4 linked regions of the Astyanax mexicanus genome follow. The protein of the gene in region 1 interacts with the protein of each later gene in a pairwise test. Links are inferred from orthologs where the notes say so. Each region holds a gene or a part of one and is shown on either strand. Other genes may lie near its edges. The genes, in order: stx4, vamp4, stx6 and plasma membrane ascorbate-dependent reductase CYBRD1.

What was found.
Region 2: the proteins of stx4 (region 1) and vamp4 interact in binary tests that used the Homo sapiens proteins (3 or more experiments, as listed by UniProt). The two-hybrid records come from large-scale screens. The link is inferred for Astyanax mexicanus from reciprocal best matches to the Homo sapiens genes STX4 and VAMP4.
Region 3: the proteins of stx4 (region 1) and stx6 interact in binary tests that used the Homo sapiens proteins (3 or more experiments, as listed by UniProt). The two-hybrid records come from large-scale screens. The link is inferred for Astyanax mexicanus from reciprocal best matches to the Homo sapiens genes STX4 and STX6.
Region 4: the proteins of stx4 (region 1) and plasma membrane ascorbate-dependent reductase CYBRD1 interact in binary tests that used the Homo sapiens proteins (3 or more experiments, as listed by UniProt). The two-hybrid records come from large-scale screens. The link is inferred for Astyanax mexicanus from reciprocal best matches to the Homo sapiens genes STX4 and CYBRD1.

Annotation. Positions count from the first base shown.
Region 1 is NC_064422.1:28,696,995-28,704,941, reverse strand, and holds the start of stx4 (syntaxin-4), read right to left. Parts: upstream 3,254-7,947; 5' UTR 3,070-3,253; coding exon 3,040-3,069; intron 2,976-3,039; exon of another isoform or gene 2,405-2,975; intron 1,018-2,404; coding exon 910-1,017; intron 416-909; coding exon 316-415; intron 1-315. Other genes in the region: si:dkey-220f10.4 (tubby protein), read right to left, coding at 6,162-6,295, 7,059-7,230, 7,371-7,469, 7,641-7,755, 7,851-7,947. UniProt on the Homo sapiens protein: Plasma membrane t-SNARE that mediates docking of transport vesicles. Necessary for the translocation of SLC2A4 from intracellular vesicles to the plasma membrane.
Region 2 is NC_064408.1:62,580,188-62,589,021, forward strand, and holds the start of vamp4 (vesicle-associated membrane protein 4), read left to right. Parts: upstream 1-5,561; 5' UTR 5,562-5,756; exon of another isoform or gene 5,757-5,782; intron 5,783-8,390; exon of another isoform or gene 8,391-8,461; 5' UTR 8,462-8,535; coding exon 8,536-8,538; intron 8,539-8,834. UniProt on the Homo sapiens protein: Involved in the pathway that functions to remove an inhibitor (probably synaptotagmin-4) of calcium-triggered exocytosis during the maturation of secretory granules.
Region 3 is NC_064423.1:15,821,976-15,829,782, reverse strand, and holds the start of stx6 (syntaxin-6), read right to left. Parts: upstream 3,201-7,807; 5' UTR 3,023-3,200; coding exon 2,988-3,022; intron 678-2,987; coding exon 509-677; intron 411-508; coding exon 315-410; intron 149-314; coding exon 86-148; intron 1-85. Other genes in the region: ier5 (immediate early response gene 5 protein), read left to right, coding at 6,759-7,607. UniProt on the Homo sapiens protein: SNARE promoting movement of transport vesicles to target membranes. Targets endosomes to the trans-Golgi network, and may therefore function in retrograde trafficking.
Region 4 is NC_064418.1:30,821,144-30,829,250, forward strand, and holds the start of plasma membrane ascorbate-dependent reductase CYBRD1, read left to right. Parts: upstream 1-4,685; 5' UTR 4,686-4,884; coding exon 4,885-5,080; intron 5,081-7,286; coding exon 7,287-7,495; intron 7,496-7,597; coding exon 7,598-7,752; intron 7,753-8,077; coding exon 8,078-8,107. Other genes in the region: dcaf17 (DDB1- and CUL4-associated factor 17), read left to right, coding at 1,036-1,145, 1,325-1,412, 1,579-1,662, 1,912-2,070, 2,193-2,303. UniProt on the Homo sapiens protein: Plasma membrane reductase that uses cytoplasmic ascorbate as an electron donor to reduce extracellular Fe(3+) into Fe(2+).

The sequences.
Region 1 (7,947 bases):
CTTATTTTTTTTTTATCAATCAGTATATATATATATATATATATATATATATATATATATATATATATATATATATATAAATATATTTTTCAAACATTCTTAAGCATTCTAATTCTGTTTATGTAATATCTTAACGTAATAATGTCTTAACTAGTGTTAAATAATAATTTGTTGAGACATTAAGTAACAATTTAACAATGTTTATTACTGTCATAAGTACAGTTATTTGTGACCCTCATTGTAAAGTGTTACTGGAATAGATACACAAATAATAGGCTGAAATTATATTAAATAAGAAATTATAGAGATATTAACTGTCATCTGGCAGTGCCACCCCTAAAACAGTTTTCTGTTTGTTCTCCAGTTCAGCCACTTTCTTCTTAAGAGTTTCAAGGCCTTCTCGGATCTCTTGGACCTGTAGAGCAAGATTAACAATATTAGGATGGAAAGTTGTAAAATTAAAAAAAAAAAAAAAAAAAAAAAAAAATTTAAAAATTAAAAAGCCAAAGCAGTTCATACTGTTGAACAAGAAGATTCGCTTATTTATTCATATTGTCATGTTCTCACTTCTAGACAAATAAATAAACAAGTCCTCTTGTTGTGGACACTTTTTTGGCTTTTTCACTGATGTATTTGTTTGGGTCCTGCACCTGTGTTTTATTGCACACTTGTAAACTTTTAACCATAACTGAACTAAAACCTCTATTTTATTAGTACTGAGATTATAATAAATAAAATCACATTTCACTTAAAACTCTAACTGATAATTAAGATGAAATTAATTAAATGTGAGACTGTTGTAACAATGCGTTTGTTTGGTTTATCTTAACTGACAGAGAAAGAGTTACATGTGCTCTTTGCTTACCATTTGTGTTAAATACATGTGCTAAAATGTTTTACAAGCTTTACCTTTCTGAAGAAAGCCTCATTATCTTTATCTTCCTTTCCAGAGTTTCCAGTGCCTGGTTTTATCATGAGGGCTGTGCCTTCTTCATCTTCATCTGAACCCTCTGCAGGCTATGTGGACATGGAAATGTATGAGGTAAAGAAGAGCTACAGATTAGTTCCCTTATTTTAATGTTTACAGCAACAAATGACCAAGTAAATGAACTAAACACTTAAAATATAGTACTATATATAAACAGATATGAGGTAAATAAGAAGGCTACAAAGGGCATTATCTCTGTATGCTCTAACAATTTTGGCAACAATAAAATGTTAACAAGTGTAAGAATACAGTTTTATGCATTTTTTAGACATGTCTTCTGACATGGTTAAGAAACACTATGATCAATGTCCATCCACAACACCCTGTACCCCTAGGAGGGTTTTGTACTATATATTACGTCTCCTTCTTTATCACACACAATGCTAACAGCAACACTGATTCAGCAAAAACCTGCCCCACACTCGCGCTATAAACACGCCCCAAAACACCATACAACAATAAATATATACAGCTGTATACAAAAACATCAACATAGCCTCTGCACAATGCTGCACACGTGTATGCAATTCCAGAGTGCCAGATTGCATTGAGCATTTTCATGATCAAACACACCTGATTCAACACATGTTATGTGCCAGGGTTAGCAGATCTGTAAAGCAGATGGTTAGCAAACTGTGCAAGAATCTGGCAACCTACCACTGCCACTGCACAGGAGGTTTTCTTTTTTTTTTGACAAATCTCAAACCTGGATAACCAAATCAGTCCCTAGGCCTTTGACCAACTGTCATTCAGAACAGTCACTTAAAATATATTTCCAAGCTTTAGAAATTATCTCTTAAGACTAACCTTAAGACTAACATTTAGCAAACATGTTTTTTTTTCTAGACCACTGTCCAAAGATTTAAAAATGAAAGTAAATGCCCACAAGCAGAAAAAATATACTAGAAAAGTTCAGTTTGTGGTTTGTACAGTGCAGGCTTTGGCAGTTCAGTGGAACAGTGGAGGTTGAGATCTGCTCACATGCAGGTCTGTAAGTGCTAAAACCTGCACAAAGGAAAAAGTGGTGAAGCTGTTGTTGAAAAAAATGCTGCATCTCATGAACAACAACAACAGCATAGTGTACATATGCGAGTAGTGGTTGTGTGTGTGCAGGTGTGTAATTGTTGTGTAATTATTGTGAATCCAAATACATTTTTATTTTCCAAAAAAAATAAATAATAATTAAATAATAATATAATAATTAATAAAAAGAATCTTAAAAATTCAACATATTTTACCTGATGTGTACTAGCTTTATTTAACATATTTAACTACAATTTAAAATGTGTTTAGGCTATACATGCTAGCTTTTTAGTAGAATACTAAAGATTTTTGTTCCCCTTCAGAAAACCAGATAGTTAAATGTACACTGCACAAGAGTGTTTATACAGCTACAATTATATACAAATTACTCACAGGCTGTGGAGGTTTTCCTGTTAAGCAAATAAAATCCTTGGTCCCAAAACATTCTAGGTTAAAACGGATGTGGAAATTCTGTGGCAGCTCTTAGATTTCCTTTCCTCTTAAAAAATCATGTATATGTGTGTGACAGACCTGGATATGCTTGAACACGAGCAAAATAACTAATCAAAAAGAACAGAAAATCAGAGTAACAGCAGGTTAGTGATCTTCAGAGAACCGTAAAATACACTCCACTCATTTAGGTTAGCTAACTAACCCACATACTAGCCTGCCAGAGTAACTATCTTGTTAGCTTAGCTAGCTTGCTAGATAGCTTTTTAGCTAGCTAACTACTTAGATAGTTTGCTACATTCTAATACATTTCTGCACAGCTAAATATTTTAATATAGTTGTCGTTTAAGATTTTTAACGAGGATAATACCCCATAGTTACATAAATATGTTATAATGTCACATTAGCTGCAATGTTGTTTAGCCAGCTAATGCTACATGACAGCAGAGCTAGCTAGCCTCCAGCTAACCTGCTAAGTCCACTAGCGCTAGGCTCCCTGAGTTTAGCTCTCTGACGGGCTCCAGTAGTTTCAGCAGGGCTGCAGTGAAAAGTTTAAGCTAATCAGTTAGTTAACTCACGTTTCCCAGTTCTTTGGTTCGGTCTCGCATCGTTGCTCCTTGTTTAAACCCTCTCTACAGACTCGGGCTCTTCATCTAACGCACTAACTTTGTTGACATCAACAACAGAAGAAGGGAGTTTCCATTCAAAGTCAAAAAGAAACGGCTCTTCCTCAGTGTGTGACACAGCCACCATTAAAGGCACACCATCTCCACCTACTGAGAGCCCTGCCCTCACGCCCTAAACCCTCATAAAGGTCAGCATACAATAATACTGTAACACTTCAGTTTCTGAATCAGTTTCTCTGATTTATCTCCCAAATTCCGAATAAGAATATTGTCATTAGGAGCATTTATTTGCAGAAAATGAGAAATGTCTGAAATAACAAAAAAAGATGCAGAGCTTTCAAACCTTAAATGATGCAGAGAAAACAAGTAACTATTCTTAAAGTTTTAAAAGAAAAAAAAATCATCAAAAATGGTTTTTAATTACAGTTTTCAGGCATCTTGGCATGTTCTCCACCTCCAGTCTTACACACTGCTTTTGGATAACGTTATGCCACTCCTGATGCTAAAATTCAAGCAGTTCAACTTACTTTGATGGCTTGTGAGTATCCATCTTCCTCTTGATTATATTACAGAGTTTTTTTTAATTTGGTAAAATCAAAGAAACCCATCATTTTTTATTTTAGTCTTTTATTTTTTTCCAGAGCTTTATAATATAACCTTCCTTTTGTGTCCGCAGCATAGTTCTTTAAATGTCATATAGACACTGTGTATTAATACTTTCCCAAGATTTAACTTTAAAGCACTCTTTGTACATTTTGTACAATGCGTGGCCATGACTTATAAAGGAGTGGGAATAAAATAATTAAGTCTGCATGGACAAAAGTTATTAAAACTTGGAAACAAGATCCTAATGCGTGGCCACAATTTTTCAAGTCACGGCCATAGTCGTGGTCATCTTTTTTTTTATACATGATGTCACCTTAGGGGCTCTGTAGTTTTTCTATGCGAGTTGTTTTGCCATATCCAGAGTGCTGCCAGGAATCATTAATTTAGGGGTTAAATAACATATTTATGAAAAATGTAGTAATTAATAATAAAAATATATCAAGCTATTTAAACATGGCCAAAAATTGCCTGTCCACCCTGTCATATTGGGATAACCAGCTCCCTAAAAAAGTAACATTTGACATCTGTGACATCACAAACTTCACACTGTTTTATTTCTGCAAATACTTTGTATTACAAAAAAAACTTTGTATTAACTTATCATAAAATGTATAGTGTAAATGACAGTTTAAATAAACATATTAAAACGTGTTAACTAGTTAACAAAAAACAAGAAAAATGTAGAAGGTCTTGTTCTGGCAGTGTCAAAATTCTGTTTTTAGAGCTAGTATATAATCAAACAGCTGTTAAATTACTTTACTTTACTTTCATTGAAGTTAAGAATGTTTTATCTCTCTTCTGTAACATTGCTGTTTTGAAGATGCACGTTTTTCCTTGAACAGCAATGATATACCGTATTTTTCGGACTATAAGGCGCACCGTATTATAAGACGCACTATCAAAGAACGCCTATTTTCTGCTATTTTTCCATACATAGGGCGCATCGCATTATAAGGCGCGTTAAGTGACACTAGAAAGGGTGCCTATATCAAAGTGAACAGGGGTGGCGCCATGTTTCCCTTCCCCCACCGGGGGTGGTCGCTTGCCGGTGGAGCGTCTCAGTATATATAAATCTAGCTCTTTCAAAGTCAAACGAGTGCTGGATATTAATCTACACAGATTCCTCTCCTGAAAACTGTTTTTTTGGGTGAGTAACGTGCTTCAGTTTATTTACAGTAAGCTTAGATTTCCAGATGTCCACTAAGGCTTGCTGCACCAGCGTTAGCATAGCTATCCGCTAGCACGCTAGCTAGTCACCTAAACTAGTAAAGTTAACCCAAACTTAAACGACAGCGTTACACTGAGTAATCCTGCATGTTCTGGTAAGACAGTGAGATATTAGCTAGCGATTCGTCCCCCGTAGCTTGTTTTAACACTGTAAACAAGCAGATTACAGGCTGATAAAACTCACCTCTGAGAGAGTTAGCGCTTAGCATCTAGCTAATGCTAGCCAGGCAAAGCAGCACAGACTTACAGGCCGATAACTCACCTCTGAACGGTGAACGCTTAGCGATTAGCATCTAACTCTAATAATACTGCTCCAGCAGTATTAAAAGTGCTAAATTTAGAAAATACTGATCTCTGAACAGTGAAAAAGCTAGCTAGCTAAGCGGTTAGCATCTAGCTAATGCTATTGCTGCTCTGCACGGAGTGTGTGTTTACTGCTCCTTACACCTGACGGGTAAAATTTAGATAATACTGATCTCTGAACAGTGAATAAGCTAGCTAATGCTATTTGCTGCTCCAGCCTCGGAGCTGCACGGCTCTGGACTCTGTATAGCACTGAAACTCTGTATAACGCTGCACGGAGTGTGTGTTTACTGCTCCTTACAACCTGACGAGTAAAATTTAGATAATACTGATCTCACTGAATAAGCTAGCTAGCTTAGCGGTTAGCATCTAGCTAATGCTATTGCTGCTCAGCCTCGGAGCTGCACGGCTCTGGACTCTGTATAGCACTGAAACTCTCTATAACGCTGCACGGAGTGTGTGTTTACTGCTCCTTACAACCTGACGAGTAAAATCCATACAAAAGGCGCACCGTATTATAAGACGCACTGTCAATTTTTGTGAAAATTAAAAGTTTTTAAGTGCGCCTTATAGTCCGAAAAATACGGTACACGGTTTATTTAATCTTACAAAAATCATACGAGACGTATTCTCTTTAATACATGATTTTTTTTATTATTATTTTTCAAACACCGGTAAAGTAATTATTTTTATGGAATGACATGTCATAACATAAAAAAATAAGAAAATACAAATGTGAGTATAACCCATAACTATTGTAGCTTATGCTTATTGCACATTATTTTTGCTGCCTCCAAAACTTGCTGACAATAAATATATATTTTGTCCAAGAATACATGAGAACTTCTGCTACTGAAGTTCTCCAAAGGCCATAAGTCCCCAGATGTGGTGCCTTCTAGTAGCCTAAATAGCACATTCATACAACGAAAGCCGTGAGTTCATTCACAAGCCAGTTTTCCATCAAATGAGGACAGAGTGATGGCAAATGCTTGCAGAGCACACATGGGGAAGCTGTAGTCCATGGAGAAAACATCCTCTGCCACTCTTCCAAACTGCATTACAATGTACTCCTCTGGACAACACAGAAGAGAGAAACAAATATTACAGGCTTATTTTACAAACATCTGATAACTCTTTTTACATTCATGAAAAAAACATTATCATGGCCAGGTTTCAGTGTCTTTTCAAAGTGCCTCATGGTGAGCATTTATATCCTGTCCTTGCTGTGGAGCAACACACTGCCCCAAGTGTTAGTGTGATTATCTGATGAGCCATTGAACAGTCAGACACCCCAGTAGTGATATAAAGAGAACTATCAGCTTATCAATATGTGCAGAACATCCTGCAGCCACATGTGTTGTGGAGGGTTTCCAACAGGTATTTTTCAGCAGGATAATGCTCACCCACACACTGCAAGGGTTTCCCAGGAAAGTCTCTGCCAGATTACAACAATTCCTGGGAATTTCTGGATATAGCCTCTTTTTTCAACTGTGGTTTTGTAGCCTTTAGCTTGCTAAGCAGAATAAGGTAGGTAAAGGTAAAACTTGTTAATAGATGCTCAGTAAAAACACAACTTATATGTCATAAGTTTGAAAAAACAAAAAAAATATTCTTCTAGGTTTGAAACCATTAATACATTAAGTCAGTAATTTGTGCTGCAAAACTCAATCTCACACCTTGAGGGCTCATGTCACACTTCACTTAATCTAAAATAGTAATGGAACGTTCCTTAAGGTTGCCTCTGGGTTCCCCCACATGTAAACTGATGCAACGTCTATAAAGGTTTGTTTAAACAGTATTAGAACATGCAGAATGTGTGTGTTTCCCCTACTAACCGTTATCAGGATGAACAATCTGGAAGTTCTTCACAGATGCCTGTGTCACTCGGCCATGGAAATTGAGCACATACGATTGAGTCTGCTCGTTCCAGCTGGGTGACTTATTCACCAGACACACCAGATTCTCCTTATTTCCATTTTCATAACGAGTGAGGAGAGATTCGATATCCTGCGAGAGTGAAGAATTAAAGAGAGGCTGAAGAAGTGAGATCAGGTGCCCACAAAGAAACAGTAAGGGAGACTGAGAGTGAGGAAGAATGAAAGTGAAATGGAATTATACAGGGCAGATTTACAGAAAACATTACTTACGCTTTTTGGACGAATACTGACTCTTTCGTCATTCTCATGCATGCCAGGAATGATCACTGTCATTTTCCTGGGGCCTTTAAAGCCCAGAATGTTTTTCTCCTGTTTGATGGGGAATAATGACAGTGACAAATAAAATGGAAGTAAAAAGAGTAATTACTGCATCCTGTAATTCAGTATACATTAAATAATGTTTTTTTCTTTTTATTATATGTTTTTAAGTATTATAATAAAATATTGACCACAAAGTTCCTTATGACATGTTTAACTTACATAGCATATTGCTGCAAGCTCTTGCCGAAGTGATTCACTTTCCTTAATAAACTGCTTCCTTTCTGGGTTTTCTCCATTATCATATACAGTGAATTTAGTCCCTAAAACATTTGACCTGCAATGAGAAAAAATCAATCATTAACAAACACGTTCTTCCTTTGCAAAGAGAACTAGGGTTAGAAAAGCAGATGGAAGGATAAGATTAATGACCTGAGTTTGCCTATATAGCTGCTTGTGTCTCTGGATAAATCAGTAGGATCAGTGGAGATCAGATAATTGGACGTTGTGCTTTTCTTACGTTTTCTTC
Region 2 (8,834 bases), on another chromosome or scaffold:
TTCACTTTATCTTCCAATGAGTTATTCATCCTTGTACATCATATCAACTTATGAATGTTCACAAAGAAGTTTGAGAATTCAGCTAATTTCATCCGAAAGCATTAGCAATAGAATGGGAGTGGAACAGTCACACATGAACTTAAGGTCCCTATATCCAATTAAAATGAGAAATTATTAATCTCCCCAGAACTCAAAGCATCTTGTAAATATGCTTACTCATAAAACTACTCATTTGGCTGCAGAAGGCAATGGCAAAAAAAATTGTTCATAAACATTTGGACAAGTTTAGGTTGTTTTTCTACGGTATAAATAATTCAGTTAGAACTTTTATGTGTATTTGTGCATTAATCTAATAGAAAAGGTGTGCATGCGTGCGTGTTGTTTGTGATAAATGATCCTGTGTTTTCCTTTGCTGATGCTCTGGGGGCTTTAACAGGCTGTACAGGCACATCTGGGGCTCATCAGTCACAGGTTTGGGCAGTTTTCCTGCAGCACTGCATCCCCCGCTTCTGTCGTTTATAACCCTGAAATGCACTCCCCACCTCTCACCACCAGCTACCCCACACTCCCCTATAACACCAACTATCCTAACCCTCCTCTGCCTCCAAAGAAAACACCCAGCCATAGAGAAGTCTACAAATTCCTAACCTCAGACCTTCACCATCCTTCAGCTCAAAGTGCTCAAAGCCTTGGGAGGTCTGCTTATACCATCAGAAAGGAAGGACAATTCAACACCATTCAACTTATGCAATACATTCCATATTTTTTATTTTATTAAGTTTCTAAAATTTTGATAAACAATATTTAGAAATTACAGAGATTTTTACAGTGATTAATTAGTGAGTAATTAGACCATTAACAGGTGAACAGGAGACTATGATTTCTGAATGTATAGAGAGGCAGTGGAATCTTTAAGACCAAATAGAAAAATATAAACTGTACCAGTCAAAAGTTTCAACACCCCTTCTCATTCAATGTTTTATTATTTCCCTGCATTGTAAACAAATACTGAAGTCATCCAAAGTATGAAGGAACACATAAGGAATCATCCAGTAAACGTAAACGAGTTCAAATAGTAAATGAATAATGACCCAAAACATATTGCAAAAGCAGCTGCAACAGATCTAAAGCAAAGAAACACAATGGCTGATCCAGTCACTTGACTGAGCATGCTGGTCAAGACACACAAACAAGCAAATGCTAAAAGAGACTGTAGTGAACGCTGAACAAAACATCTCAAGAAAAGATTCTCAGCATTTGCTGATATCATGGGATCCTGACTTTGTGTAGGATTACTGCACATTTTCTGCATCCATGTATAAAAAATCCTGCATATAACATTATTTTAAGCAATAAATAGTTAAGCATAAATATTTAATTCTAACATTGTAAAGTATGTTCGAGTTTGAGTATGTTTAATTCATTTTTGAATCTTAATTAATGCTAAAATTCTAACTTTCAATCACACCATGACAGCTTAACAGTTAAATTTGTAAACCCATAAAGGTGGTTTTCAGAGTCAACAGTGCAAAAGAAACATGTAGCTGTCCAACTATTATTGGATCAGAGTGTGTATCTGTTCGTCCAATGCACCAATGCTTTGAAGAGGCTTTATTATATATGTTGTAAATGACTGGGTTCTAAATGAATTACTGTTCTCTCAAAACGTATTACAAATACACCTGAAATCTGTGAGAAATTAAGGTCTTGTACAATTATTAAGTAAGCAATAGAGTAATAGATTAAGAAGGAGTAACCTGAGGAAATATTCAAGACTCTACACGTTCTACACGTGTTATTTTTACTCATACCTAAAAACTCATTGTCATGACATGATTTGCCAAATACTTCTCTGAAGGGGTTCAGAATCTTCAGAATACCTCATCAGTCAATACGAGGCACAACATAGCTGTGCAATTCATTCTAATGCATAGTTAGAGTCAATGTAGAGAATTTTAGAGGAAGACAGAAAGGTCTTTCCATTATTTGCATCTCTCTCAGTGTAGTCTCCCAGGATTGAGCAGGTGACACAACTGACAAGACTGGAACTCACTTCATCCTGTATACGCTGAAGGTCACCGTAATTTATACTCTTCTAGCTTTGTCCATCCATCTTCCCTTCTCAACAAGACTTTGAAGTTAACAACCAAAATGGACCAAGGCAGCTATGCAAAGAACATATTTTTGACAGCTTTAGCACTGCTGTACACATGCATATGGGAACATCTACACACCTGTATATGTGTGTATATGCAGTATCCTTACATACAGCATAAACATTTACTACAAACCACAACAGAGGATAAAAACTATTAAAAAATGATTACTAATCTTCATGTGATAAAACTGAACTTTTCCAGAGCTTCGTCAAGTGCTTTCTCGAGGACACACAATCTCATCTTTTCACTCAGCCAAGCACTTCCCACTCCCAGGAGGAGCTTTCTGCTTTAGCAATCATCCTCATCAGTGTGTGGAAAATATTCCAGACTCGCTCGCTAAACTATTTCTCCGAAGAGCCGCTGCATTATGTTTCTCTTGTTTATTTGTTTCTGATTTCACGTGGTTTCATGTGTGTAAATCTTTTTAAAGGCTTTTTTTCTGTTTGCTTTGAGAATTTTTATCTCTGCGATGCTCTTCTATGGTCCCAGCCAAGTTCTGCTCGTATATCACAAATATGTAGTTCAAGGTAACAAGGTGAAGAACTTTTGCCCCCGTGACATCCACTGAGAAAATGAAGCAATTGATTTACCAGATTTAATTTTACAAAATGTTGCAACTTATTAATTGGAATCTTAACAGTGGTATTTGTTACTATTCAACATAGATAATAGATAATAAAAATGTTTGTGGAAATAAATTTATTTATTTATTTTTTGTTTCTAAATGTTCCAATTTTTCTATCAAATTTGGAATGCCAATTACCTTATCCCTGGTAATATGAACTCTACCTATCACCAGTAATGCCCTCAACACTAAGAGAGGCACATGCCTCCTCTGATTCATGAAGTTACTCACCGCCTCGTTTCAAAATGGTGCTGATACAGCATCACTAGATAGCCAGATAAGACCAGCGTTCTTATCTGTTCCCGAGTTCTGATACATCAGCTAACACACACCTGTGCTGACCAACATTACACTATGAGATCTGAGGAGGAAACACCATAAACCCTGGAAGAGTAAGACACTTTGTGTCCTAATGTCATAAGATATGATCTGAGATTTGAACAGACAATCCTCTAATCATAGTGACAGCGCCCTAGTCCAGCACCTCGGAATTGCTTTTTAATAGTATTCATGAAATGATTTAATAAGATTTTTTTTTTCACTAAGAACAGATATGATACACATATAATGGTACAAACAACAATTTGTCTTTTTTTTCTTTGTATTTAAAGTATTTCATCCTTATGAGCTTGTTTGACATCCATTTCAATAATTATGGGCGATCGATATGAAGGTAGAAAATTGGAAACAAACAAAAACAAATGTGTGAAACATTACCTTTCACTGCAATTAAGAGGGAAAACAGCAGCCCCAAGACCATTAATAGTATCCCTGGTACACTAAACTCTGGTTGGCTCTAGGCAGTCTGGTAAGTATTGTTCTCCTGGCATCTGCCAAACTCCTAAGTTCTCCTGGCATCCCAGAATCCCTGATACTGACTCCTGATTCATTTGTGAAATTGTGAAAGTGAGTGCAGGGTTCAGTGAGCGAGAGACATTCTTTTCACACATGGATCGGGCTGCTTGAACTCCATTGAAATAACTTTTGTAACGATTCAGAAGCTTTTGGAAACGATGCCACAGTGAATGCATGCCATAGTCAAAGCTAAAAGTGGTATTTATAGTGTGTGACCTTTATTTGACCAGGTAGTGTATAAAGCAACTGTCAAATATACTGCCCATATACAGTTTTTTAATTGTGATTTTTATAACAGTGTCTGGAACCCATGAAAACATTAAGGTGTCCGTACAAAAATATGAAGGAATTGCATCATGTAACCATAAGCTGTTTCTAAATTGTATTTGTTATATAGTACACTAATTTGGGATTCTGCCATTTTGTACTGGTGTTTGAAAACAAAGTTTTTAACTGTACCAATCTTACAATGCACTGTGATATATAGTGTACAGAACCAGACATGGAATACCCGTAATTATGAATTAATAATAAATAATCAAATCTTGGGTTAAAGAGTGCATTGCAGACTTTCCAAGAAACACTAGATTGTTCAGATTGTTGCATAACACTGCCCTTATCACACACATAATAACAATATTTTATACACCACTACAAAATAGTGTAACCCAAAAGTAGTGCCCTACAAATATGTAGGCCGCACATTGGGACGATTGAAAATTGGAAATTGACATGTTTAGCCCTTTAAAGCAGCTGATTATACAGTACTAATTAGTAGAATGCTAACCTGTAATGGTTAAATACAGTTATGTAAACTGTCTATTTTACAAACAATTAAGTCTGTGTGTTCTAGTTAGAGCACAAGTACCAAACCATCCCTTGTAATTAACGGTGTCACCGGTATTCACATGCATTACTCTGGTAGAAGTATAGATACTAGGGTTTAAAAATAATTCTGTAGAAGTTAAAGTATCAACTCAAGCTTTTTACTCTTGTAAAAGTTTAAAAGTACTGGTTTCAAAACTATTTAAAAATAATTTACGGGGGAAAATGCCATTAAGGACAAAAGCTGAGGATGTGCCACAGGAGCCTATAGTATAGTACCCCCAAATTTTTTAAAGCCATAATGGCTGTAATGTTACATTAAAATGTTAACGTTGAAACTTTGGGGATGCACTAGGCTGCCTGTTTCAGCCACATAAAGGCCCATTTCAATGAATGAATTTGGTACAATATAAATATATTAAAGAATCATACTAGGCTACACAAGTCTGCTAGATTCTTGCTGGAGTCTGGGCGTGATGTGTGCAGGTGAGGTGGATTGTGAATAGACCAATAGGATGTCGAAATGGTATGTGTTTATACTTCTTAACCAACCACAATCATAATCACTCATAATCACATTTATCTGGAGATTTATCTGGTTCGTTTTTTACAGAATGAAAACAAACTAAAACAAGGTTTTTTTAAAAATGTAAAAAAGTAGAAATTACAGATAATTGTTAAAAAAGTAAGGATTAGAAGTGAAAAGTTGTACTTCATTACTTGACACCTCTGCTTGTAATTTGAGTATACATATTTATGTGTGCTAATATCTAACCCTTATTTCCAGTATGAAAGAGGAAATTGTTTTTTTTTTCAATCAATGAAAACAAAACATAATACACATCAAATAAAATTTCATATAAAAATGATAAACATATTCTCTTGAGTGTACACAATGCATACATATTGTTGGGGGGTATACATAAATATAATGATTTAACAGTTGTAATAGTTGTACTGTTTTACAGAGGGCTGTTACAGAGGGGAGTTTAATATAATATTTTAACTCTTTTTAAAAGACCACAAAAATCCTGATGTATAACTACAGCATTGTGAACCAAATCACAGCCCAGCTGTTTGACTTCCTGGTCATCAGAGGTGGAGCGGAAGAGAAGAGAACATCACTGCAATATACACATACACATCCTCACAGCCCTGCTGCCGAGAGGCTCTTCTCTTCTCTTCCACTGACACACACACAGACCACTTCCAGGATCCTTAGATCCTCAGTGGTGTGAGTCGTGGCTGCAGTACAGAAGAGCACTGCACCCCACAGGACCAGCACAGCCCAGGTAGAAGAGGATCTGTGTCTGTTGAGGTGTGTGGAGGCCTGTGTGTCTCTGTGTAGAAGACAGCAGTGCCTGTGTCACTGTCTCATCACTGCATGATGTTCTCCTGATATTTTAGTGTAGCTAAGCTAGCTAGCTACTTGTCTCGGTTACGCTATTAACTAACAACCCGCTAGCTAAATAACTGTCTATCTAACGTAACTTATCCAGTTTAGCTAACTGGTTTAGCTAGTCTAAACCAGACAGTCTGACCGGCTCAGCTAGCCACACAGCTAACCAGCTAGCAGAATCATTTAGCTAGCGTTAGCTAGGCTAAGCTAAACTAAGCTAGTTAGCTAGGAGGCTTCGGAAGCTAATATTAACAACAGTAGCAGCTTCGTGCTGCTAGATAATATTTATTTCTGATAATTTAGATGGAAATGTCCTGTGTAAATATGACGTGGTGCTGTCATGTCTTAGTTTTTTTTTTTTACATTTGTCTTGTAAAAGTCGGCGTTTCTGCTTAGGTTTAGCTCATTAGCTAGATTAGCTAACGTTAGTTAACTGGCACCTAACAGTTACATTGTGTGATAATAGCTTAGCTATCGTAGCTCAGTGTTTCTCAACCCTGGTTCATAAGGCCTAGTCTAGTAAGTTCCTTTCTTTAATCCACATTCTTTAACTCAATAATGAAATGTTAAGAAGCTAATGATCTGTATCAGGTGTTTTGGTAGCAGGGAAAACAGTAACTGTTAGCTAAACAGTGCAGGACAGTGAACCTCCAGGACCAGGCTCGAGAAGAAATACTGAGAGAGCTTAACTACCTAACCCTAGCTAACCTAATGTTAATGTAACGTTAACTGAAATCTCTGTGTTTTATTCTCTGACAGATGTATTTATGCAGAAAGCTGCGTTTAAAACAGGTTATTTAGCTGACCGGTTGAATCATCATCATCATCTTAGTTGTCGTTTCCCTATTCAGTCATATGACTCAGTGGCTGATTAGATTAGCAGTTCTAGAAATGTAAAGGGGGTCATGGCACACATTCTCAGCTCTCAGCTCCATTCTCTCTTGTGGGGATGCTTCTGGTTCTGACTAGTTCATGCAGATGTGTTTATCAGGCAGATATTTACTTGCTTCACTTGCTTGATGCTATCCCCTGTCTGATAAAAACAGACAAACAAAAATAAACCCTCTTTGGAGTTTAGTACTGATTTGGTTTTGTGATTGATGAGATGACTGTGGCCCAAAAAGGGGTGGGCAATAAGGCCCTAAAATAATATCACAATATTTCATGGTATTTTTGCGATAATACTTTTGTTGATATGACAAGATTGACAAAAAATATTTCAAGGATTAAAGTAAAATAAATGATACTGGACAGATATAATCTGTCGGGAGATATAATAGTAAATGAGAAGAGTGTGAATTTTTCTTTTGCTAAAAACAGCAAAGAAAGTAGTCCCCTGATGTGATAAATAGGGGTGGGTGATGGCTCGATATTTCAGGGTATAGTATCGTTCACAATATTTAAAAATGTTGGCGATATTATTGCATACGATATGATGTGGCACACAACTACTGCCCAAGCCAAGTCTTTGTGTTACTGGTTATGTGGATATGTCTAAAGGAGTAACAATTTATAGGCATATAGAATTCACTGCTATTCTATATTATGTATCATAAAAATATTCACCTTACATTGTACCTAAGCAGTCTAGTACTGTATTGTGTGCCATTTTCGTAAAGAAAAGAGACAAAAAAGAATGTTATGATTTATATTACAAGTTAAATGTTATAATTGATGTTTCATGTCATTTATAATTGCACATTTACAGCCTAAACCGTTTACAGATGATGCAACTATGGCCTGGATATATGTACACTATATGTCCAAATGTTTGTGGACACACACACACACACACACACACACACACACACACACACACACACACACACACACACACACACACACACACACACAAGTTGTCTCTGTCATGCAAAATGTATTGCCAATAAAATAAAAATCTCTACAGCAGACAAACATGAATGGCATAATGGCACCATATCTAATACCATGAGTGGGCTAGAAGGAAACATAGCCTCCAGAATAAAGCAGTGGTTCTTTTTTTTGTTTTTTGAAAAACCCTGAGGGAGGCACAAAATTAATGAACAGGTGTCCCATTACTTTTGTCCATATAGTGTCAATTGATGAACCCCTACTGGTGTCACCATTTCAGTGTTATTTGCAAATGCAGTGCTTTCAGTGTTGGGTGAACTGATTACTGTGTGCAGTGCGGGGGTCAGCAGAGTTTATCTGATTGCCCTTTAGAAGGTTCTGCATCGTCTGTTTGTCTGTCCCACTTACATTTTATGTCCAATCCACATGACCAATTCATGTTTTGTACATCAGTTTACTATTTTATGCCAATAATGTTTTTTTCTCCGTTCATTCTATTGGAAAATTATAATGGCACCCTTGTTTGACAGATCTGGCAACTGAAATGAATTTTACATACGTTTATGGTCATTGTGGATTCTTGCCTGCTGCTTTCTTTTTATCTGTCTCTCTCATATTTCCCGTTATCTTTATCCCAACCGTCTTTCCCCCTTTTTCTGTTTCCTTTTTCCTCTCTCTCTTTTTTTTTTTTTGCTAGAGCTGCTTATCCCTAACCCCTCTTCTCCTCCTCTGCTGATTTGTGGATCGTTCCGCCGTGCTTGTGGCCAGGAGAAAACCTGTTTTCCGACTACTTTTCCAGCACATCAAGCAGAAAGCAGTCTCAGAGAGAGGACAGTGACTCAATGGTATCAGACCCCTATCCTAAATTTGGATTGTGTCTGTGGTTGTGTGGGAAAGAGAGAGAGAGAGTGAGAAAAGTGAAAGAACTTCTCTATGGCTTAAACTGCATAAAAAATGTGAAGAATTAAAAATTAACTAAATAAATATACCTCCCAACCAGTAAATATGTCCATCATTGTTTCAAGTATTTTTTTCAGAAATAATTATGATTAAGCTGTTTCATAGAGCCAGGCTAAATATGAGAAATTATATTTAAAAAAACATTGCATCAATGAGTAGGTCATGAATTTGAACTAACTTT
Region 3 (7,807 bases), on another chromosome or scaffold:
ATAACAAGATAATCAAACTACAATAGCCCACAATCCTATGGGAAAATAACTAAGTTGATAGACTTGTATAACTTGACATACATACCTGTCTGCTTTTCTTGTCTGTTATGGTGACAGCCATTGGGCTAGCCATGTGGTCTTTCATCTCCTACAAAAAAAGAAAAACATGATTAACATTGTTAATAACATTATATTATTCATATTGACAAATGATCAATGTAGTTGATAATATGACAATTTTAACTAAATCAGAGATATGCATACAGGTAATAATCACCATGAAAAACTTTTTAAAGAACCCAAAGTAAACTCACCCTGACAGTCTGTCTTGTGCTGGTGATGAAAGCTTTCCTTTTACTCAACTCTACCGCATCAAGATTGAACTTTCTTGGATTTGCTTCTACAATACTTGAAATTACTGTTAAGGCTTTGTTTAAAGTAGTATTAGGAGCATGAATAACAACAAATAAAAACATTGTTTTGATCTGAGAAGCATGATAAGGATATTAATAGTCTCATCCAAGTCTTCCAGGTCCCATTCTATAGACCTCAGGCTGTTCCTCAACTCATTGGTGGTCCAGTCTACCTCCTCCTTGGAGGCACCACCAGGATCCTGAAGAAGCTCACTCCATCTCTGGTGTAGACCTTGTGCAGTGTTCACAGCCTTCTGGACCTCTCTAAGCAAAGGGACATATTATTCCAGGTCAACATGAGGAATATTCAGAATAGTGAGAGTTACTGAGGTGGCTGTGAATGCTTGGCTTGTTAAAGCACATATCTAGCTGGCCAACTTAGGAAAATAACTTTATCCTAGATGTATTCTGAATAGCAATTTATGCATAGGCCTGTCACAATAATTACATTATTTGCTTGTCATACAATAGTAACTCAGTATTGACCACTGTGGATTCCTCAGCAAGAAGAGCATTACTATTAGTTTTATTTCTTTTGTTTGGGCAGAATGTTGACGTGGTGGGTAGCGCGGTCACCTACATTAAGACGACCTGGATTTAAATCCCAGCTGGAGCAACCAGGATCTTTCTGTGAAGAGAGTCCTGGTTACTTCCTACAGTCCAAAGACCACCGTTCAGGTAAACTGGAGATGTTTGAAATTGCCCCTAGGAATCACTGTTTTTACACTATTAACAAGGGTAAAAAAAAATTATTGGTAGAATTCCGAGGACCCTGACACTTTGAAAGTGCCCATCAGTCGACTTTTTAATGGCTTAATTTCAAGATGGCGGTGCCGAGAGTACTACCTAAAGGTTTTTTAAATAAACTATCTGCACTTTTAAAGTTTTCAGTGGCTCGTTTTAAATGTTAGGGTTCTCAGAATTCTACCAATGAAGTGTGGAGCTACTTTGAGCTCGATAATGGTGTAAAAGTAGCTAATTTCTTTGCATGAGCAACACTATGCTCCCATCTCTAACATTGTAAGCCTGTTTGGAGAACTGGCAAAAAGCAGTGTATTTTGGAACTCCGGGTAAACAAAGGTGGCCTATTTGCCAAAAGTTTGTACTTGTCATTATGTTTCACTACAACCCAAGTACATTTCACAACATTAAATAATGGGCATAAAATGTCTTGATCACAAAAGTATTATCGCAATCAATTGTGGGACAATATTGCTAAGTTTTTTTGTGACAGGGCTATTTATGCATAAATGTGGACATAATGCTGATACAAAGTATAGATACTATCGGGGTAATCTAAAACATGGGGTCTTACAAAAAATACGAAAAATAATTCTGTAATTGTTGGAGTGACTATTTCTACTAGATTTTATAGCAGTACTGTAAACATTAGTTTGCATTCAGCAACAAGAGCATTAGCTGGTGGCCCTGACTCTTCCACCAAAGAATTACATAAAACACTATCAATCCAGAGAACACAGTTCCACTGCACAATGCTGAAGTCTTTATACCCCTCTAGACCATACATGGTGCCTAATATTATCATGTTTATCACCTCCAGAATCCTATTATAGTGGCAAAACATTTCTACCCAATCTTCTACCAGTCTTCTACTGAGCATCAGCAGAAACCAATTCAGTCAGAACTTTTTGCTTATGTAAATAATTCAGCCTTGCGGTTTAGCCAAGATCCCTTATTTTTAATAACAGTGTAAACAATAAGACATTCAGTACTGATTTAACTAAGCTATTAGTTAAAAAACATGAATATTGTTACACCTCTTCCTTTAACCAACCTTTTCCTAGGTGCTTTATAACCCTTTGTCTGTGTTGTGCGTTATAGAGCAAACTCTGGACTAAAAACTTATTTGTTGATAAATGTGAAATAAGTATAATAAAGTATTGGGGAATTTAATATGAATTGGGGTTCTGTAGTGTTTGTGTATTAGCATTAGCCGGTTAAAAACAATGTCTGTCACTGGCAAAACACCATATTTCTGCGACAGTTTAATACAGCTTTGGATATTATGTTAGCTAACTAGCGTTAACTATGTTTTAACGCTGTAAGATACTGTAAAAATCTTATACACGTTAATAGTGTACATTTAAAGTACCTGCAAACACTTGGACATGTAACGTTAATGTATGTTACCTAAAGCCTGTTTGTATAGAGTTCTTAATAAAAAATGAATTAGCTATTATCCTATTACTATACAAAATTTAAACCAATCCAAAAAGCTAACGCTAGTTAGTAATGAATGCAGGCAGATAGCAGCTAGACTAACTAGCGTTAGCCTAATAGCAACCTAGTTTAAAGCATCATAACAAAGCAGTTAAGCTAGTTAGTTAGCGGACTAGCTAAGCTAACTAACGTGTGTAAAGAAAAATAATTTAGTACGGTACAAACATTTTCCTTCAAAGACACACTCCGGTAACTATATTAAATCTGTAATAAATCTGAGAAGACTGTAAAACAGAACTTCAGCATGGTCCATTGTTGTTAAGGCTGGGTCGTGTTAACATTAGCGTTAGCGTTAGCTAGCTCCGCTCTCTGAGAAAAGCTAACTCTACTCACCCTTTCACAACGAAAAACGGGTCTTCCATCGACATGGTGCTGCTCACAGTAAATGGCTCCTCTGGTATAAAGTCATGCTCCAGACCCCGGCGGCTGTGCCCGTGTCTGTGGCCGCTGTGAGAGCGCTGAGGGTTTAAGGTTTGTTTATGTGCGGGACTGAGCTGCGCCCTCCGCCATCACTCCCTCTACTCAATCCGGGGCAGAGGTCAGCAGAGCTGTGAAATCTGAAAAAACCATTGAAAATTAATTATGTTTTAATAAAGTAAAGTGCAAATAATATGTATTTATTTATAGAATGTTTGCATGTCTGTCTGTCTGTCTATCTGTAGTGGTATGAAAAAGTTTGGGCACCCCAGATAATTTTCATGATATTCCTTAATAAATCACTGGTTGTTCGGATCAGCAGTTCAGTTAAATATCATAAAGCAGACAAACACAGTGATATTTGAGAAGTAAAATGAAGTTTATAATATTTACAGAAAGTGTGCAATAATTATTTAACCAAAATTAGGTAAGTGCATAAAATTTGGCACCCATGTCATTTTATTGATCAGAATAAATAATTCAGTGCACTTTGCCCAAGGAGAGGCTGTATAGTAGAGTAATGCAAGATAAAGCCTTTTCTGCACACAGGCCACAAACAGAGTAGCTTGAGGTATGTTAAAGCACATTTGGACAAACCAGTTTCCTTTTGGAATAAGGTGCTGTAGACTGATGAAACTAAAATTGAATTATTTGGAGGGCAGTATGCATGGCGGAAAAAGAACAAAGCATTCCCAATCAAACACTTGCTGTCTACAGTAAAAAATTCCCAGGGCTGGATACTTCAATGAGAACACGTCCCTAAACTCTTCTCAATATTTACTAAGGTATTCATGCAGAGGAACACGTACAACATTCTGGAATGATCATCTCAGACAAGAATATTATGGAAAATCTGTGGTGTGATATAAAGTGGGCTGTCCATGCTCGGAAACCATCAAACCTGACTGAACTGGAGATGTTTTGTAAAGAAGAATGGTTCAAAACACCTTCAGCCAGGAGCCAGACTCTTTTATTGGAAGCTATTGAAAGTGTTCAGAGTGTTCATTTCTGCAAAAGAAGGATCTATTAAATATTGATGTACTTTTCTGTTGGGGGTGCAAAATTTATGCACCTACCTAATATTGTTTTAAAGAATTAATGCACACTTTCTGTAAATCCTATAAACTTAATTTTGCTTCTTAAATATCACTGTGTTCATCTGCTCTATGATATATTTAACTGAAATTGCTGATCTGAACAACCAATGACATATAAAGGAAAACATATATGTATATATCTATATGTCAGTACTTTTTGCCTAATCATTCCTGTGTTTAAAACAAGTCAGGACATGAATGTAGACCCATAACAGGCCCATTCACAGTCACACCGGTCCTGATGGTCACTGTTACCACCTCTGTCCGAATGCACTGCTGACTGCAGCACTTAAAATGCTTTAAATATTCATGAGGCTCATTCATTAGCTGGGATACCTACACCACAGTATCCCGGTAACATACACCACCGTGTCTCCTGTCTACGTGCAGTTAATTAAAAGGTCAGATCAAAATACACTTACAAAAAAAACTAACCATTTTGGTCTAAGCGTCTGTGAATAGATGTTCAACACGTATATTAAGTGTAGCTAATGATACACATGACTTAACAACACATCACTTCAGTTCATTTTCAATATAATGCCAGTGATATACAGTTGTGGTCAGTACAATAATAATTATCTTAACCTCACAGAAATGTAGCTGTAGTGTAGCAGTGATGACCCAACCTGGACAAACTGGGTGAATAACAGGGTATTTTTTTAGTCAATTGGCTTTACCAAATTCCCTAAATTTATCAATCGGCTTTAGCAAACTGCCAAAACTGATCAACTACTTTACCAAACTGCCAACACTGATCAATCAGCTTTACCAAACTGCCCAAACTCATTAAACAGATTACTAAACTCATCACACATATTTACCAAACTATCAAAACTCATCAAATGGCTTTGACAAACTGCTCAAACTCATCAATCAGTTTTACCAAACTGCTTAAATTGATCAATGGGCTTCAACAAACTGCCAACACTGGATAATCAGTTTTACCGAATTGCAAAAACTGATCAATTGGTCTTAACAAAATGCCAAAACTGATCAACCGACTTTACCAAACAGCCTAAACTAGTAAATCTGCTTTACCAAATTAAACCAGCTTTGTTGAATTGGTCAGGCTGAAAAACCAGTCCATTAACATTATGAAAAATACACTTATAATTGGCCAGAGCTGAGCTGATTAACCAGGGTATGTTTTCACCTGAATCACCAGCTTATTTTATTCGCCTTGACCAGTACATACCAGTCCAGACTATCTGAAATCAGCTGGGCTGTGTTTTTTAGCAGGGTTCTCACACTCTCCTCCACACACACTGTAAACACAAAACGTGTTACGTCACTCCCTGCTTTTCCCCGCGCGGTGTTTTGCGGGTTGTGACCTATATCGAGCACACAGTGGGAAAGATAACCTGGAATTGTTTACCAGAGGACCGCTGCGTATTTAAATGTATTAAGCCTTCGCGAGGCGTTCAGCTATTTCAGTCTGGTGTCACATTGGGCTTTAGCTGGGTCCTGAAACAAAACACCGCCTCCCCTCCCCCTCACTAACGGCTCCCATTCACATTTGCTCAGACACCGCAGAGGATTTGCACAATAGGACCACGTGACCCGCCTGTAGGAGACACAAACCATTACATCAGTCCAGGATGTTGGCTGAAAGCAAGGAGAGTTAAAGGGGACACGGCCATTTTTATTTAACAGCGGTCAAAAACAAGACATTGCACGCCTTAAAATAGCACAGTCTGTGAGATTTTACAAAGTGAGTTGTATTTTAAAAAGAAAACCACCATTTCACCGTTTTAGCTATATTTATGTTTGTAAGCATGATTTTAGACTCGTATCAGTCGTTTTATAAATGATAATACAGATCCTCAGTGTTTATAGCCACCATCAGAAGATAATTACAGTCTAAGAGCCCAAAAATACTGCTGTTAATTTTACACGTAATTTTTTTAGTTATTTAATTTTTCATTGATGTTTTTAGTAATAATTCGGTTGCTCAGCCTAAAAACATTTCGGTCTCTTTAAATTTTTCTCCCACGTTAGTATTTAAATATGACTAATCTGCATCCCGCGTTCCGATTGGTCCGCAGTGGTTTCGCGGGGCGTGGTTGACAGCGTCGGTGGCGTTCAGCGCGCGATGTGATTGGTCAGCGTAGCCGTTACGTCCGGGTATAAAAGCGGTCTAAATATAGAAACGGTCTCATTCCTCTCTAGGCTGTTGTTGGGTGAGAGAGACCGTACGGAAGGTAATGCAGGCTTATAGTATAACCCAATAACATAGAATTATCAGTATTACGTTCTTTAACCACAGAAATGTGGCGGTTGGTTTTATTTATCGTATCAAGTTGATAAAACGAGTAGAGAACCATATTTTTTCCTAAATTAGAGGAATTGTAAGGCTTCTTTTATTTTAAAATAGGTTTTATTTTCATTTAAAAACTACTTGAAGACCAAGTGAGTGTTTCTAAAGCTTGTTGGACCATTTCTTTTGACGTTTTTGGATGGACAATGTTTCAATGAGACTCACACTTGAAGGAGAACAAGCCTGCTGACAAGCCTTCTCTGACTGGAGCTGAACTTTGAAACTGCTTGTATTTATTTTGCTTCGAGTGTTCCTGAATCGAGCCTGACCATGGAGTATAAAGTGGAGGCCCATCGGATAATGAGTATCTCCCTGGGGAAAATTTACAACTCCCGGGTTCAACGAGGAGGCATCAAGCTCCACAAAAACCTCCTGGTGTCTCTGGTGCTCAGAAGTGCACGCCAAGTGTATCTGAGTGATTACTACAGTGGGGTTTGCCTCAACACCCAGCATGTTGAGGCCAAGGAGTGGGAGCTGATGGATTCCAACCAGGAGAAGCCACTCACTCCAGCCCCTGAGGAATCTCTGTCCCCATCAACTGACTGCAACCAGAATCCTGTGGTTCCAGAGGATCCTGAGGTTCAGCACACCAGCCAGGCTGTGGAAGACTCCACAGATCTCCACAGCGTCTACTCCAAACATCAGGCCGAAGAGGAGTCTTCCTCAGAGGATTCTACTACTGATGTTTCTCTCACATCTTCTCCTGTGACCTGTGAATCTCAATGTGAAGCTAAAGGAGCTGAAGTGAGTTCTTCGGACTGTGAGGCGGATGCTAACCCCGCCACGGTCACAGAAGGGAATTCACAGCAACCACCGAAAGCTCACTCTTGTTCAAACAGGAAGCGCACTGCTGAGAAGACAGCCAGCAATGACTCTCCTGTAAAACGGACAAAGGTGACTTCCTCAAACTCCTCTGAGGAGGAAGCGGAGGAGATGGACACGGGCAATGTCTCTAATCTCATCACAATCTTTGGCTCTAGTTTTTCAGGACTTTTAACCAAGGAGAGCTCTGAGCCTGAAGCAGAAACAGAAGACAGTGATTCAGGGTCAGGGCAGATCTGCTGTGACCAAATGCTAAAGAACCTGAACCCTTGGAGCACGGCCATCGTGGCCTTTTAAAAACCAATCACAGAACTTTGGTGGAAGTGTGGTTTTAAAAAAGGAAACCTGTAACATTCACACATGGCCATTTTTGTGCTGTACTTCTAGACTGGGTTCCCCCCATAACACGTGGTGAGGCATGTATGTGTGTGGTATGGGACTTCCCCTACATAAGTGGTGCTACCAAGCACAAACTGGGCCTGGTGTGTTTGGACATG
Region 4 (8,107 bases), on another chromosome or scaffold:
TGGGCTTTACTAGTGATGGGGGGAGTCGTAATGAGTGGGTTGGGTAATTGGCCATGTAAATTGTGGAGAAAATAGGAAAAAAATTAAATACAATTATTTAAAAAAATACAAATTTGAAAGGTGGTGCAAATCAAAATCTGGTATGATTAAAATAAGAGGTCTTGGTCTGGTTTGTCTGCAGTATGAAAGCCATTTTTGTAGATGTTTGGACATTCAAACCAGTTACAGTAAGCTGAAGCAAGCTATCATCAGAATTTAAACAATATCATATAGCAGTTTGAGGGTAAACACGTACATTTGTCATTTATATGTCTACTATAACTCTATATTAACCCTTATTTCATAAATAAAGTCAGGATTCAGCTCAACACCTGGAAAAGCAATTTGCCAAACTGGCAACACACTGGTTTTGCATGCACTTTCACAAACCAATTTATGTTGCCTATATAGGTGATGATGTGGGAAAGTTCTTTACTCACTAAAACTGCAGTATGGAAGAGAAACTAACAAGATCAACTGTATAAAATGTAACAAACATTTTTACAGGTGTAAAAAACCCTCAAATTCCTGAAAAGAACTGTGTGAAAGTTAGTGTTAACCATGTAAAAAAGTCCATAGTGCTTCTTGCAGATTCAAATAAACAGTTAATCTGTCTAATACATAAAAATATTTATTTTAAGATTATATAAAACATATCCATTGAAGCTTTGTACTATTGCAGCAGTGCAACCAGAAGGAATAAATAATAGAGAGCTCTCCAAGCATGTCACTACCAGTGGCAGGCAGGTGTGTTTGACAGTAATTGTGGAGAATTGTCTACAGGTACCACAGGCTCTGCAGAAGGCCCCAACTGTGAGTGCTGACAGAGATGGATAGAGCAGTCAGATCAAATGTGTTGATTAAAATAAAAATGAAAGCACTGAAGTATCTTATGATTTGTTGGAAAATTAAAAACATGGTTTTATTTCCCAACATCTGTTATTTATTAAAATGTGATAAACATATGTTCCACTCGGTCGGCTTCCTTTGAAACAGGCAAAGAATGGCGTGCAGGACATGAAATGTGACTCGCTGGAGGCAGATTGGATCTTTTTTCACCCTGATGATTCAGGAAGGATCATCCATGCTGGGCCTAGCACCATAAAGTGAGGCTCCTAAAAATATATTCCATATTGAATTACACACATATGCACATATACATATATTAACATGAAAGATTTGTAGTAGGGCAATAAATTAGATTATTATAGTGCAATTATATTTCTAAGTGATCGTTTTCTTTCAGTGTTCTATTATTAATATTTTGTTATGGTTTTCTCTAAAGTGTTCTCAAGATAATAGAAGGAAAAGAGGTTGACACGAACTATGAAGTGATCCATGATTTCTCCATCATTACTTCTCGAGACAGAAGTGTAAGTCATTCTTTACTGTCTGCTTAATTTCCGTAACAACACTTACCATTTTCACACCCACACTGACCATGAACAATGGACACCAACCGGACTTTACGGTACTTAATGATCTACTCTGTGCATGACAATTTATAAAATGTTAATTCTTTCTGCATATTTCATGCAGGCCACCTCAAAAGTGACAGTGACCTCCTCTGGTCGTACTGTTAAGAGAAGATTTCAGCAACTGGATGATGATCCTGAACAAGAGGTAATTGGGGGCCCCCCTTTTTTTATACATATAAACATGCAAAAAAAAAAAAGATATTTTTGCACACTAGTTAACAATAGTTTATTATTTAAAAAAAATCTTCAGATTTTTAAAGATTGTTTTTAATATTGCCTTTTTTCATATTTTTATTTATTTAGGCAATATAGCCTCATTTTGTCACCAAGGCCACTAGTACTGTGTCCTCTGACATTATGTGTATTATGTACTTATTTTCTCTGATATCTTTAGACATTTAAGATGGCTAAGTATGAAGATGAGCTTGATTTGTTGGCCATTGTGGATGTAAGTCCTACTGCAGAGGATGTGGGACAGGCTAGTGTTCGACTTTATGACAACAAAAGTGGAGGATTGATGAAGAGAATTACCCTTAATGAGCCATGGGATGTAGTGAGTAGATCATATTTTTTTTTTGTTTTTTAAGGTTTATTTATTTTATCTAAAAATAATTAAATTTATTTGTTTTTCTCCAGAGCAATTTTTCCCAAAAAAAGTTTCTTTCTTTCTTTCAGACCTACAGTCATGAAGTCTACCTTGACAGAGACACAGTTATTCACATTGAGCAAGAGAGGAATAACAGCTTCTGTTGCCATGTTTATAAGATGAACCGAAAGTCTAGTTGACCAGGCCACATGCCACTTTTTTAGATGTTACCTAGATCTTAGAAATTATTTTTGTATTTATTTTTATTTTCATTTTGCAGAATTTTAAAGACCACATGCCTTAATGTTTTATTAAAACTGAATTAAACGTTGAATTTCTGATAGTTTGTGTGAGTGGACAAATTATTCTCTTGGTCATACATTTCTGTCATGCTGGTTGCTGCTGGAGTAGTAACTGGTGGCCTCTTGTAACATGATAGCTTTAGCCTGGTTTGGGTCACTTTAACCCATCTCAAATATAAATGCAAGCACTTTAATATCGAAATGACTTAACATTTTGCTATTAAATGCATTGCCAATATTTACTTTCTTTTTTTTTTTTACATTGTCTTTGGTCATGGAGCATGTCATGATGCAAAAAGGACATACTGGCTGAAGCACTGCAGTCAAAAATGCAAGTGTTTAAAGGATAATTCTAAAGGTGTAGTAAAATATGATAACGAGTATGAACATTTGTCAAATAGCCCGTCTCCGTTTGATCCCAGCATTCTAAAATACAGTGCCTAAAGCCGATGCTCCCAATAGGCTCACAATTCAAGCGACAAGTTCATAGAGTCCATGCAAAGAAATCACTATTTTACAGTACAACTACTTCAGTACTGTAAGTACTAAAATGCTAAAATCTGTATCTACTGAAGTATTATTTTCTCCCAATTTCTTTTTAGCTGCATTTTTCAATGAGTTTAATACTTTTACTACGATATACATTGTTGTGCTCATTCCAAACCCAGATGCTCTGCACTGTGGGAATGGAAAATGAAAATAAAATAAAGGTTAATAAAATCTCATTTCAGCTACCCATCAAAGAGGAATTAAGGAACTGAAGACATACAATCTATACCGGGTATAGCTATATCTATACCGGGTGCTTAAAGGTTTGTACCAGTTCTTAGGGGGAGGATTTCACCCCTTACCCTTGTACTTAAAAAAAGAGGTAGGGGTCATACCTGTCAAGTCTCCCGTTTGGCCGGGAAACTACCGTATCTTACCTCTCTTTCCTGCTGTCCTCCCTTAATAGTATTGTCCCGTATTCTATTTTTATTTTTTATTTTTTTTAAATCATGCGCCTCGCCAAACTAAAATGTCACTAACCTTAAGGCCCTGTCCGACTGCGATTGCGTCTAAATATCCACTAAAGTACGTCCAAATTTATCAGAAAACACTGCGTCCACTGAGTGAACGCGCTGCGTCCAAAATATAGACGCAGTGCGTCCAAATTACGTCCATATTCCGTCTAAATTGAAGTTGGACGCCGACTTCCAAATTTGTACTTCGACGTCCACTTTTTGGACGTCGACTTCCAACTATATATGGTTGTTTTTTCTAGTGAATCATCATTTCTTCTTGAGCTACAAGAGAGAGCACATCTATTCTCTTCTACACAACCATGGACCACAGATTCCTTGCAGTGATTGTGCAGCAGCAGAACATACTCCTCCATGTGCTGGACCAGACCAGGAGGAGGAGGAGGCGGCAGCAGGAGAGGACTGTATGGGTCAGGCCTTGGATTGTACGCCGGGTGGAGTTTGGACTGTATGACCGGCTGATGGTAAAGCGATGGACGCCAGAAAAATATTTTTATGGACGTCGACGTCCACCTGTACGTGCCGTCCAAATATCCACTAAAATACATCCGTACTGCGTCTAAATATCCACTAAATTACGTCCATATTAGTCGCCGTCTATTCCAAAAATTTTGGGAGGTACCAAAACCACTTTTGCGTCTAAAGTGGACGGCAACGTCTAAACTACGTCCACTTGGACGGTGCCGTCCAAATATCCACTAAACTACGTCCAGATTGCGTCTAAATATCCACTAAACTGCGTCCACTGAAATTTGGACATACTTTAGTGGATATTTAGATGCAATCGCAGTGGGACAGGGCCTTTACAAGAACTGCCACCCAGGAGAGAGAAGGAATTCCTGCCAGAAAGTTTGTAAGTGGTTCACAGGTGGTTATTTTTTATTTCTTGCATCGTAAAATGTAAGGAATACTAAACCTGGAGGGCAGCTCAAAGCGGGCAGCAGAAAATTTCCCTTATTTTTAAATCCAAATCTTAACAGGTATGGTAGGGGTGCACAAGAAAAATGGGACTGGGCCTTGGTCTCTCTACTTTATACATGTCTGAACCGCACCCACTTTCCCGCCAAAAATACTCCCATCTCAAAAGCAGCTGTAGTTGTCGCTTTAGCAGGGAGGTTTGCTGGGCATAATATTGTTGCAGTTCCCCTTTAAATGTAGGACAGATGTCCGTGACGTCAGGTTTAGTATAGTGGACTGAATCTCAACACAAGGGTGTTTAGTATTGAGAGTTTTTTTAGTCTAGTATTTGTAGTGTGGTGTTATGTGATGATGAATCTCACCATTATGTCTTATTGCGTAATGATGGTAGATGTGGCAAGTTACAAAACGGAGACTGTGGAGTAAAAAAACAGAAGAAGTTTGTGTTGGAGGAGCTGCTTGAGACGGAGCCAGCCCCCTGAGTGACCTCTCGAAATTCCTGCAGAGAGAGTCTAGAGCTGTCTCTCAGTACTGAGGAAATGGAAGCAATGGAGAACTACAGGCTTTTCCTCTCTCTGCTGCTCCTCGCCCTCTCGCTGGGCTTCGTCTCGGTCGTGTTCGTCCTCAGATGGGTTTTACACTTCCGAGAGGGGCTCGGCTGGGACGGAGGAGCGGCGGAGTTTAACTGGCATCCGCTCCTGATTATCATCGGCTTCATTTTCCTTCAGGGAATCGGTAAGAAACTCGAGTTAAACTTAGTTTAACTGTTGAAATAGTGCTTTGTGTTCCGTATTTTATTATTGCAGTTATGTGTAGAAGTGTAGCTAAGAACTCTAGCGCTTGTTGTTGAGTTTCTCACTGTGTTGAATTACATTCCTAGTTTTTAAATCCAGTTGAGAAACAGCAGCTTTACCCAATTCAGGTCACATGATCTCTCATGGAAATCCTGAAGTAAAGGCGTCTGTTTGCCAAGATTAAACAGAATAGCTGCACAGAGCTGTTTAGATAATTAATTAAAGGAATCAGGAGTAAATGTCTCTAATAAAGTAAAAATAAATAATACCTCTATTCTTTATTTGCTTTGTTAAATAAGAACTCCGGTGTAAAATTAACTTTGGTGTAAGCTAAGAAAATATGATGAAAAATACTTAACTTTGTTGAATAGCCCACCTCTGCTTTATATAAGATTATCCAGGTTCAAACTAGCTCCACACCTCCTTGGTAGAATCCGGAGAGCTCTGACATTTAAAATGAAGCATTAATAACCTCAAAAGTGCACAAGAAGCTTATTAAAAGACACTGTTTACATCCTGTGCCTCTGTCATTGTACTGATAATAACATAAATAAGGCTTCATTGACTCTGCAGTAGACATATATACATAGAGTCTGCATAGCCTGCCATCAGGCTATGCAGACTCTATGTATATATGTGTCTGTCATTATCAGTATGATGATTATCAGTATGATGATGGCAGTGCACAGAGCTAAAAGCTAGCAGCATGGGATGCAAACAGTGTTTATTAATAAGTTTCTTTTTTTTACCATTGTTTACCATTTACATTTAATTTGATATAAAAGTTTCAGTATAGAATACATGTGATTTCTATTTATTTATTTACTTAGAAAAAATTGACCGTTGTTTTGGTTTGTATAACTCTGTTTAATCATGATTCTGACTGGTATATGCATGAAGTCACATACTGAAATGGTTTAATTTTACTGCAAGATGTTTTTTAGATGTCTGTCAAAGATTGTAAAAGGCACAGCCAAAATGTCAGTGTTTTTGCCAGTAAAGCTTCAGTCACTGAGCAATGAAGAACTTCCTTCCTGTTTCAAGCGTATTTCAGAGAACCAGACAGCCTGGGTTAGAAAGCTGAAAGCTAAATAATATGATAATCAGCAATACTGCCTTTTAGAATATTAAATGTATAGTTTAGTTATTTTCTTCAGTAGTCTTAGTTTAACAGTCCATAATCCACTGTCACATGTATAAGCAGCAGGGAATAATTTACCCATATTTATTGTCCAGTATTTTTTATGCTAAAGGTTTGCTTTCATTTACACGCCACTTAACCAAAATTCTCTCAGTTTAGAAAAAGTTCATTTTGTTTGTTTGGTGCAGACACTTTGATGTGGTTTGGAACACAGTATGACTTATAAACACAAAAATAAACCTCTCTACATGGATGGCTGAAATGTGGGACAGTTATTTTCAGTAGCCTTTCCATTTTTATCTTAAATGTCTGAATAAGGTCTACCCATGCCAATTTGCTAAATATTTGTGTATACAGAGATTAGCTTGGAGTCTGCCTATGTGCAATGTCTGTTAACAATGTAAGCCTAGCAACCTCCTATTGCAGTGATTTGCAGTTCTGGTCATGCTCTGATGTTCCCCGAATTTCAACACATCTTATTCAAATAATACACTAAGTAATGAGACTTCACTTGATACCACAAGGGTGTTTTACAGCAGGGAAAAACTACAACAAGCAGGGTAGTGGTGAAGAAATACGAAATTAAGTATTAAGAAATAATACACTAAACGAGTCACTGAAGAAACACTGAAGAGATTATTATTTTTCACAATTAATCACGGATCCTCACAGAAGAGTGATGGGGCTGCAGTTTTTAGAAGCGTTACAACGTATTTCTAGCTGAATATATGCTTTTTTGGAATGTTAGCAGACTGTTTAGAAAATATACTTGGGTTGGTCTATGGGAGGCGCCAGTAACCAAAGTAAGATGGATAAACACTTCAGAAATGAGTGTAATTTTAAAAGATAAAATGTCGGTATGTAAAATCGTGATTACTCCATGATTCGAATTACAGTTACATCTGAATTAATCGTAAAAATCACCCAGCACTAAAAGAAAGTATTATTTGATGAGTCCGACTAAATCAGAACACAAATCAAAGTGATTATGCTCTTTTTTTTCCAGCAATTGTTGTGTACAGGCTCCCATGGACGTGGAAGTGCAGTAAGCTGATGATGAAGTTCATTCATGCAGGCCTAAATGTGCTGGCCTTCATCCTGGCTGCTATTTCTCTGGTAGCGGTGTTTGACTTTCATAATACTCAGAACATTCCCAACATGTATAGTCTGCACAGCTGGGTGGGGCTAACTGCTGTCATATTGTACTCATTACAAGTAAGTATTTACAGAATTTACACACATTAATAAGTTCCAAATATAAATCAAACACTTATATATATTTGTTTTTTGTTTTTGTTTTTTGCTGCAATTGAACAGATCGTACTGGGCATTGCCATCTACCTCCTTCCTGTAAGCCCAGTACCTTTACGAGCTGCATTTATGCCTCTACATGTGTACAGCGGCCTATTCATCTTTACTAGTGTGATTGCTGCTGCTCTAATGGGCATTACTGAGAAGCTCATATTTGGCCTGTAAGTATGCTTACACACTGTGCTGATGAGTATTCCAGTATTACTGGTGCTTTGTGTCCTGCCACTGTGGCCACACTCAATAACACCATTCTGGTCAACCCGAAATTATGTCATCAGTAATGTTTAGGCACTTTATATGATCCATGTCATTAAAAACGTGTTATTAGTTATTATATGACTTATGGTTCTGATACAGATAGAACCATTATAGGAAAGACCTTGAGATGAACTCTTACTTGCAATATACAGTTTCTTTACCAATTTAAAAAAGGATTTAACTTTATCAACGCATTTAAAACGTTTTTCTTTTCCAATTGTCTCATAGGAAAGACCCAAAATATAAAGATTCTCCACC